2 linked regions of the Drosophila melanogaster genome follow. The protein of the gene in region 1 interacts with the protein of each later gene in a pairwise test. Each region holds a gene or a part of one and is shown in the gene's direction. Other genes may lie near its edges.

Region 1 (5,159 bases):
TATCGCCGATCCTAAACAACAAATATAGCAGGCAATAAAACGCTCAATGCAGAACTCGCGGAACTGTTCAATAAATAAACTTATATAGCGCAGATTAAATGATAAGGCTCGTTTCACTTTCTAATGCTCTAATACACAACCCATGGCTTAACCTTGAAAAACCGGATGCATCCACACCAATCCGAAGTATTCCATTCTTCTAGTCTTATCTGAGAAGTTATTAAACTTGACCCAGTCTAAAAATCAGATTCTGTAGGACTACTTCACTTCATTCAATCTACATACATATGTTATTTCGTTAAAAAAAACGTAAAAACGCAAAAAAGAAAAAAAAATGTCAGCTATTACTTTTACTCTAATGGGTTCCTTCTGGCGATAATAAAGTAATTCGAAATCAATTACCGAAAGGAATTTGATACTGTATTTATGTTTTTCGAACCAACTGTGATAAGGGAACTTTAACGGCGAAATATTCGCGAATATTAAAACAATATTGACCAGTAAGACTCACACGAATATCATCATGGCATCCCAGAGATACAGGAAAGCCGGCAGTGATCCGTAGGCCTCGAAGATATACGCGTAATCCCCCCCAGATTTTGGTATGGCAGTACCAAGTTCCGCGTAGCAAAGAGCACCAATCATGGACAGCAGTCCGCAGAGAACCCAGATGACCAGCGAAGCGCCCACGGACTCCACCTCCCGGATGACGCCTTTCGGAGAAACAAAGATACCGGATCCGAAGATGATGCCCAGGATGATGGCCACTCCTTCGAGGAGGCCCAGCTGCTTCTTGATCACAACCCTGCTGCTGTCTGACTCGGCGGATCCCTCGCGACACTGAGCTTTCTCGGCAGGATTAGCCGCTGGTTGGGCAATGCTGGAGGGAGGATTGCCGGAGCTGGGGGTCAGCAGGACCATTTCGCTGGACGGCGACTGCAGTTCATCGGCGGCGGGCATGGCGGCTATATATGTACGTATTATGTCCTAGGGCTATGGTATTATTATCCCGCTGCTCTGTGACACAATCTTCGCACGCGACGTCTGAAAGCGAACTGTAACTGTTTCTTTGGCCGTTGTCCCGTTAATTGATTAAACGAGGCAAGTGTGTTCGTGGGTGTGACTCCGTGTACATATGTGCGTGTGTGTATATTTCTTAATGTGTTTTTCAATTGTATTGTATTTGGCTTATCTACTCCTGCTCTTCCTCTTCTTCCTTTTCCGCCGGCTAGCGTTAGTTTGTTTTGGTCGGCTCTTCGCTAGCTGCCGTCTCGCTCGCACCAGCAACACACCCTGCAGTTGAGTCTATCGCACATAAAACTCGCGATTTAAAAGAACAATTCACACTCTGTCTCGCGGAATTCGGTTAATGGGTCTGGTAAATAAGGGCAGACATCGAGGTGTAACCGCCAAATTGTGCAAACTCTGCGGTTTAATTGTGGAATTGGCACAACGTTGCTCAAAGGTTTTTCAACCCCACGTTTTCTCGAGCATCGCAGCAGTGTGACCAGCGCCCGGCTGACTGTAGAATATCAATTGATGCTGGGGTGTTTTTCTTGCGAGCTACAGGGTGCAATTTTTTATTCAAAAATAATATATATACAATATGGCCCCGCCGACTTTCCCGCTGTCGGTCCCGTACATAAGGGTAAAATGAAATTGAAAACTGAATTTTATACATTCCATATATTGAAATATTAACGAGAATTAATATACAATTACTGCGTGAGCGTACGTGCTCTCACGTGCTCTCCTCTGATTTCTTATCGAAACGAAAAGTAGACCACGTCTATCGCCTATCGCCAATCGATATCAGTATCCAAATAGATGAGCTAAAAGCAAATCGACAGAGAAATACAGATCACAAAATGGATTTTGGGGACCTGCTGCGCTACGCGAAAAAAAATAGTGATGCGGTCACCAAGGAGGTGGTGGGTATCATGCAGATGTCCAGTTCGTCCATCGCGTGAGATTTTATGCTTGGAAAACGCGGTTGCGCCTGCATTCCCTTTGTGACCCAAAATAATTTATATTCGATCTGATCATTGTAATTTTTCTCCTCTATCGCCAGGGGCAGGGGAAATACTACAGCACCAAGTATTCGCCCCCCAAGAAGCAGTCCAAGGAGTCCAAGCAGCTGTCCAGCAACATCCAGAAGTTTCTCCAAAAGAAGGAGGCCGAGGAGGCGGAAAAGAAACGGCTGGAGCGCCAGAAACTCAACGATCTGCTCGCCAAAAGAGACGAAAAGTCCAAGAACAAGATACGTAAAATGCTAAAGGTAACCAAATCGGCCAACAAATCAGTGCTGGAGGATGCCAAAGACTACGAGGGGGCCATCGACGGCCACGAGGCGGGCGAGGGTCAGGGCGATGACTACGGCTACGTGTCCACTGAAGCGAATGCCTTTTACGATAAGTACATTGAAAAGGTACGCGATGTACAGGAAGACAAGGGATTCACGCCCAGCAGGCCACAGTCGCTAAAAGATCTCTCTGGGACCAAGGAGCGCGTGAAGGCGGCCATTACCAGGGAACGAGAGGAGGCCAAGGGTAACACACGTCAGAAAAGCAGCACAAGCACACTCCCATCCAGCGCTACCAAGTCGAAGGAGTCCTCCGTGGCCCGTTCTTACAGTACCTCCAAGACTCTTTATGATCCGAACGCAGAGAAGCTCGAGGAGGAGCGCAAAAAGCGGCAGGAGGAGGAGCAGCGCCGGGCGAAGATAAAACGACCTGCTCAGCCGCCGCCCATGGACTTCCAAGCCTTGCTTCGCTTAGCTGAAAAGAAACAGCACGAGCCCGTGGTTTTTGAGGTGGAGAAAAAAAAGGAACCAGAGCGTTTGTTGTCGGCCCGTGAGAAACGCGAGTTGGAAGAGCGCCAGCGGCAACAGGAGCAGCGCGCCCAGCGTCTCAAGATGCGCGAAAGTGAAGGCAAGGAGACTCCGAAATCCATCCCCAATCGCATGGAGCCTAACGGACGCATCCCCAAGCTTAATCAAGCCAAGCCAGCCAATGCACCAAGTGATAGTTTTAAAAAACCAACTGCCCCACAGCCAACGAAAAGCAGCGCGAGCTCCACCAGTTTATCCAGTTCCAATTCCCATTCCTCCGCCAGTCGCAGTTCTGTCTCGAGCTCAAGGCCCGCTACTAAATCAGCTCAATTGACTGCCAGACCTGGCGCAACTGCATCGGCGGTTGGAAAACCGAGCTCCAGCTCTAGCAGGGATGTCCCATCCAAGAACCCCTATGCAGCTACTTCCCTAAAGGGAACTGTAAGGGAGTTTCCACCTAGGGATCAGTCAAGCATCTCAACCTTGGATCGCCGAAAAATTCCGGCAGCTGCAAAGACGCGACAGACTCCTTCATCGGATGTTCAGAGATCACAGGGCGGGCGGCAATTCCCGCCCGCAGATGTCAAGAGACGAAAACCTAACGAGCCGCCAGTCACCAAAAGTAAATACCAAGTTTGATATTAAAAATGATTTTAGATTTCATATTTTGTTCTATTTTTAAAGGACGCATTTACGACGACGATGATGAGGATGAATACGATTCTGAGCTGGATGACTTCATAGATGATGGCGACTGTGAGGAGGATATATCTTCTCACATCCGCGACATTTTCGGGTATGATAAGCGTCGTTATCAAGGAATAGACGACGACGATCGTGGCATGGAATCCAGTTTTGCACAAGTGCAGCGCGAGGAGTTCATCAGCAAGAAGCTGGGTTCGTAGCAAACCGCATGACCAATAAAAACCCATAATAATGATTATATATTCGCAGGAATGCAAGAGGATCTCGAGGACATGCGCATGGAGGCGGCGCACAAGAAACAAAAGAAGCTCGTGGCGAAAATCAGCTCACGCTCCTAGGACGGTATTTCATCTCGACGTGGGCTAATCCGTCGCCATGTAAAGTGTACACCTGATTTATCTCTTGGGCTTAGCAACGAAAATTTAAGCCCACTCATTAGTTTTTGTTGTATTACGATGCAATAAGATGAAATGCAGAGTAGATTGACGGAAAGGAGAACAGGAAAACCAGAGAAGTGCACAGGAAGAAGCGAATTCTGATGAAGATTGGTTTGCTGAAAATAGCTTATTTTTATATCATATTTTAGTCGAATATCCATGGTTAATGCCACAATGATTATAGCGGGCTCATATTTGGTATATGTACAAGTACATATGTAAACAATATATAATTTTGTGTGCGGACGACTACATCGTGTAGCTGCCATAGGAACATTTGGAAAATTATTATAAATAATGGAAAATGAAAACTTTCTTGCGTTTATTAAAGTTATTAAGTTACTCTAAGAAGCTCTTTAACTTACAATTGTCGTTTATTTTTTTTATACAAATACAAAAATTAAAACAATCATGAAGTTTCGACATTCGTTGAATTGAAATCCTGATGTGCGTTTGCCATTTATGGTAAATCCATTTTGAAGACAATATCCTTTAGGATTTACTTCTTGTCCTTGGCCTGCAGCTTTGAGTGGATCATGTCCTTAAACTGCGACAGAATCTTGTTTTCGCGCTTCTGTCGCTCCTCCTTGCTGAACATGGCCAGTGCTCGCTTCTCGTCGGCGGAGTACAGCTGGTTCTCCTTGCGGATACGGACGGCCTCCATGCGACGATGCCTGCTGCCGCTCATCACATAGCCCACGGACTCGAAATTGGCGATTTCATCGGATGTTAGGCCGATTTCACCACGGCGAGGAATTCTCTTGCCCTCGGCAATGTAGGCAGCCATGGCGGCACCTTCTCCTGGCAGCAAGGCCTTGCCGAAGTCCTTTTGATTAAGACTACCGCCGGGTCGCAGCGAAGGTCCAACGTCCTCGTCGTTGTGCGAGGCACTTTCCTTGTTCTTCGACTTGCTGGCACTGGAGGAGGAGCTCTTCTTGGACTTTTCCGCCTCTGACTTACGCTTCTTCTTCTTCTTTTTAGACTTTTTGTCCTTTTTGCTAGTGGAGGACTTCTTCTTTTTAGGCTTCTTGATACCGTCGGCTGTCTTTTCCAGCCAAACATCTTCCTCCTCGGACTCATCTTCGCTGTCAGAACTGGAACTGGAACTTGAGCTGCTGGACTCGTCGCTACTGTCTTCGCTGCTTGAAGAACTGGAGGAGGAACTCGACTCTTGTTTGCTCTTTTTC
Region 2 (4,960 bases), on another chromosome or scaffold:
GCCCATTAAAAATGCTAATTTCAAATATTTTTTAGCAGAAAGCAAGAAATAAATTAGCCACAAAATGCTAAAAGCAGAGGCCAAATAAAAACGATTTTAACTAAGCCACCGAACTCGCTAAGGGTGAGACAAATTAAATTGAATTTGATTATTATATAAAATAAAATAGGTAAGAAGAAAATTCGCGACCATTTCTAAAATATGCAGTCAAAGTTCATTCGATGAAGACGAATTGTAATTTTCATAGATTTATTTGAGCCTAAACGCCGTTCAGTTTGAATGAGTGCTTATCACAAGTACACAAAAACTAAAGAAATATTACTTATATTGCTAATTGATAAGGTCTTTGAATATTAAATGTGTTTATTAAACTGTGTTATTTAAACTACGCAGCAATTCACAAGTAAGTCTTTAAACAAATTAAGCTAGGAAATTTAAATAATACATAAATGGAAACTCAACCAAATATAGAAAATAACAGGAATAGAACTAATATTTACAATATTTCTTAACAAGATAAAAAACCATAACAGGAACAGAACTAATATTTACAATATTTCTTAAAGAGAAAAAAAAACAAAGTGAGAGAAAAACTTGATGACGAAAGCGTCGGCATCCACGTCAGCAAAGCCAAAGCAACTGCAGTTTCCGCTTCCCCTTAATTTTGTTTTGTTTTCGCTTCGTAGTAAAACGTAAAAACGAGAATAAAACCGTGAGCGGGAGCGGGAGCAGCAAGTGAATTTTTTCACGCTGGGTGGAAAAGGCGCGCGAACGTGACGGAACGCCGGAAAGTTGTGGAACAGGCGATGTGAATGAATTGTGGAACGCGTTTGTGTAGAAGGCCTTACACTTATGCTAATGTGGAACCCAGAGTGCGGATCAACGAACGATCCGTGCGCGAAGAGAGCGGGAATAGTTTAAATTCCAGAAAATGCACATTTGTACACATACATACATACATAATTGCCTTGGAAGTTTACGACAGCGACGTTGTCCACAATTTCATTTTATAGATGGGGGCGTGGCACTGATGCATGATCTTGATGGAATTATGTACCTATGTATGTATGTATGTAAATGTAAGCAAGATTCGTTGCAGTAACAACAAATAAGTGGATGAAAACAAGTGCGTCACTTACTCATTAATAAATAAATAATTAATGGGCGGCGCATTCGAAATGTAAAAGAAAACGCAAATAGCTTGCCCACTCGCGGCAATAACGGAACCGTGACTTGCAAATCGGTGAAATGAATAGGATATGCATAACTGTTTTTTCGAAAGACCTGCAAATAATTCAAGAAAGTTCCAGAAATACCCAAATTTAATAGCTATCCAACATTAGGGTGACAATAACGTGTTTCAACAGATGCAATATATACGCAAAATCAAAGAAAAACAAACAAAACCCGTTAAAAACTAATTATTTAAAAAAGAATACAAAAATATAAATTTAAAGCTAACTTAATAAAAAATAACATAATTTTCCCATTATTCATGTGTCGATTAAAACTCAAATGAAAATTCTTACACTTCTCCGCACTCTTTTTTACCCCATAACTCTCTATCTCTCTTCCAGTTCTCCGCGCTCACGATTTGGTAACTGTGGCCCAATGCCGCCGTTCCCAGTTTAGCGCGCTCTCCTTGCCTTTTCTTTCGCCTTTTCGACTCATTTCGAATCGGAAATTTGACGGGTTCGGTCGTAATCACGGATACAAATTTGACGCCCTGTTGGAAAAACCACAACGTCCAATTTTCCTTTTATCGCGCCAAAAAGAAATGCGAGTAAGACCCGAGTCTTCGTGTATACGTATAATTACCATTTGCAATCACAAAGGTTTTGCAACTGTCGCCGGGCGGTGAAAACTCAAGTGAATAAATATCGCAAAGTGAAGCAAATAAAAAAATATTACAAAAACCGGTAAAACGAAATGAAACTGAAATGAGTGAGGGCAGCAACTTCAAGTGACGAAAGCAATCCGTTTACCGTTGTCTTTGCCTCTTCATCCTCCCCGAGAACGGCGGAGAACGCGAAAAATATCATGAAATGTAAAAGCTGGTCCAACAAAATTAACAACTACGTTGTGCGCAAAATAAAGTCTATCAAGGTAAATAGTGTCTTAAAAAGGTGCGGTGTTTGGCCCTGATACATATATACTTATATTTATTTAAATTTTGATTAAGTGAATATATCTTATGAGGCTTATGAGACTTGTTAAGGTGTTAAAAAATAAGTTTATAGCATAGATATGGGGTAATGCGAAAGTACAATTTGTTAAAGTTGTTTTTAATTAAAATAATTTAGTAAAACTTTTTTTACAAACTACAAGTAATGCTTTCGAGAAAATACCTCCCATCAATTTTATCGTTAAATTACACAAAATTGTTCTTGGAAAAAAAAATTGAATTGGTTGTACAAATTTTTGTTTACAAAATACAAAAGCTGCAAAATAATTTATTGACATGAAATAATGAAATACTCATAAAGCTGTGAAATTTAATGTTTGAGCTATATAGCAAAAAAAAAAAGTATTTTTACTTTTTGCAATTCTTGTTACCAATAAATTTAAATATTTCCGTACATTTCATCTAAAAAATTTCCATTGACAACACATGCTGGTATAATATATAAAGATCAAAGCCATAAACTCCTCACTAAGTGGGCAATAAAATAAGATAATTCAACGACTGTCTGTATAACAACCACTTTAAAAGCTATCTAGATGGAGTTGATTATGAATACATTTTCAGATGCTTATATTACTCGACATAAATAGGCAGTGGATGTGTATAATTATTTTGCAGGCACCCGACAACGAAAATAAAATGCATAAAAAAGTTTAATGAAGCCGCAGGGGTTGACTAAATTTATTTAACAACTGCAGTTCATTGCCTCGCAAATTGCTTGATACTTTAAAAACAACAACAAAAATTCACAGCAAAAAAACACAATGATTCCAGCTGGTTTCTAAACAACAATTTATTGTGGTTTCTTTTACTTTTAATTGCTATCTATTAGCAGCAACCAATAAATGAATTATTTATTTTATTTTCTCTTGCAAGCAGCCAAAAGTAAAATTATGCCCCTCTCTCTCCCGATCCGAGTTCATCACTTTGTCTTCTTTTAGCTGTTTTTATTTTGCAAATAACTTGAGTAGTGGATGGGAAACAACGCAAAGGCCTTTCACTTGCATGTCTGTTGCTCGGTTTGTTGTCATTAGGTTTACTGTTGTTGTTGCACACACTCATCCGCTTACATACCTCGTTTATATACTTATTTACATTTGAAGTTGCCGTCGTTGGTATGTTTTACTACGTATCAGCTTGTCCGCTTTGAGCTGCCCCTTCGCTTTTCAAGCATTTTGTTTTGTCCGCTCTGTTTTTCAGCTATTCCAATTCTCTTCCTTCGTTGCCCTGTGTATGTATTCGTAATCGGGTTCGGATTCTTGTTTATTTTTACACCACTTCTCTTTCTCTTTCGCACGAAAATTCCTCGAATTCTTTTTTATCCATATTTTCCTTTTCCAGCGGGAAAAACGAGTTTTTCCAGCAGCGCCGCATTCTTAGCCTGTCGCCTTGTCTCTTTCCCACTTTTATAGTGTCTCCGCTTCTTGCTTGTTTACAGTTAGGAATGCGGTCGTCTCCCCTCTCTCTCTCTCTCTCTCTCTCTCTCTCACTCTCTCTCTTCAAAAAGAGCGTGCGCTCTCTTTGGCCTTATGTAGTTGTGTGGATTTCGACTGAAACTTGTTTTCGCTTTGCCCCGTCGTGTTTATTTATAAAAAGTCACTGGCAAACAATTACAGTGCAACAATTACGCTCTCAAAAGTGGCGCGCAACTTGTTCGCCTTGTAAAAAAAATTGTGACGCCAGCGGCGACACGACTGCGCTGCTTTGGCCCCATTTAACTGAGAGCGCCGAGGGTTAGCTTGGCGGGGGCGGCAACGCCAAAGAGAGTTCTCTCGGGTGGCGCTCGTCTCCCATCGGTTTCGCTGCTCGAGCCAAATGCTTGGAAGTCAAAGTCTCGCCCGACCATAGTTTCTTATTGGATTTCAAACCAGTCGCTTCGTGCACGCGGCGTTCGACTACGCACACACACACACCCATAGCGCGCTGGCATTGATATACATACACAGGCAAATACACGACGCCCCAAGTTCGTGTGATGTAGTGCTGTAGTGGTGCGATTAAATAATACTCCACAAAAGGCCAAATAAATTACATAAAATCTAAATCGGAATAAAAATAAGTGTATTCTCCCTCCGTGTTGTGTTCAAAGTATTTAACCGATTGTTTTCATTAGTCAAATTAATGTAGTACAACGTATGAGTGTGAGCCAGTTCCTAGAAAAATAAGAGGGCATAAAAAATAACAGACACATACAGCGTCTCGTTTCTTATAAATTTTCCTACTGCGTCGGAATTATTGTCTTGATTATTGTTGTTTCTGGCGAACTTTTGTGATTTGTTTCGAGAAACATACTGCGGCGGTTTCATAATTGTGCAAATCAAGGGAAGCACAATACGAATGTTAAGAATCAAAGCTAAGAATTAAATAAAATTAAAGCCGCACACATACATATACACAGGCACGCGCAGAGTCGAAAAAATACGCGCGCTCGCTCTGTACAGTGTGTGCGTGTACGCGGTGGCTGGCTCTTCTTCTTCATTCGTGTGCCCATTGGAATTTGTACCCCAAATCGAAATTACAACATAGACAAACAAAGAGCGCCCGTCTGCCCCAGCACCTAAACGTAAGTGTGTGCGTGCGAGAGTCGTTTCATTTGCATTCTTGTTTAGCGCACTCCCGCTCTCTCTTCGTGCGTTTTTCATTCATAAGCACATTTTTACTATTTGGAACTGCAATTTTTTACACTAAGCTTGAGGACAGACAAGAATACTGTGAAAATCCAATGTAGATGAAAGCAGGCCGTGCTTTTTCCATCAAAGTAATCGCAAAAAGTCG

The links.
Region 2: the proteins of CG5815 (region 1) and Pdk1 interact in a two-hybrid assay, tested with the Drosophila melanogaster proteins (one large-scale study listed by BioGRID).

The regions. Positions count from the first base shown.
Region 1 is NT_033777.3:27,110,760-27,115,918, forward strand, and holds CG5815 (uncharacterized protein), read left to right. Parts: upstream 1-1,806; 5' UTR 1,807-1,868; coding exon 1,869-1,931; intron 1,932-2,071; coding exon 2,072-3,452; intron 3,453-3,514; coding exon 3,515-3,727; intron 3,728-3,784; coding exon 3,785-3,873; 3' UTR 3,874-4,367; downstream 4,368-5,159. Other genes in the region: gb (genderblind), read right to left, coding at 512-960; CG6066 (uncharacterized protein), read right to left, coding at 4,472-5,159.
Region 2 is NT_037436.4:127,783-132,742, forward strand, and holds the start of Pdk1 (Phosphoinositide-dependent kinase 1), read left to right. Parts: upstream 1-1,667; 5' UTR 1,668-2,040; coding exon 2,041-2,106; intron 2,107-2,947; exon of another isoform or gene 2,948-3,789; intron 3,790-4,029; exon of another isoform or gene 4,030-4,748; intron 4,749-4,950; exon of another isoform or gene 4,951-4,960.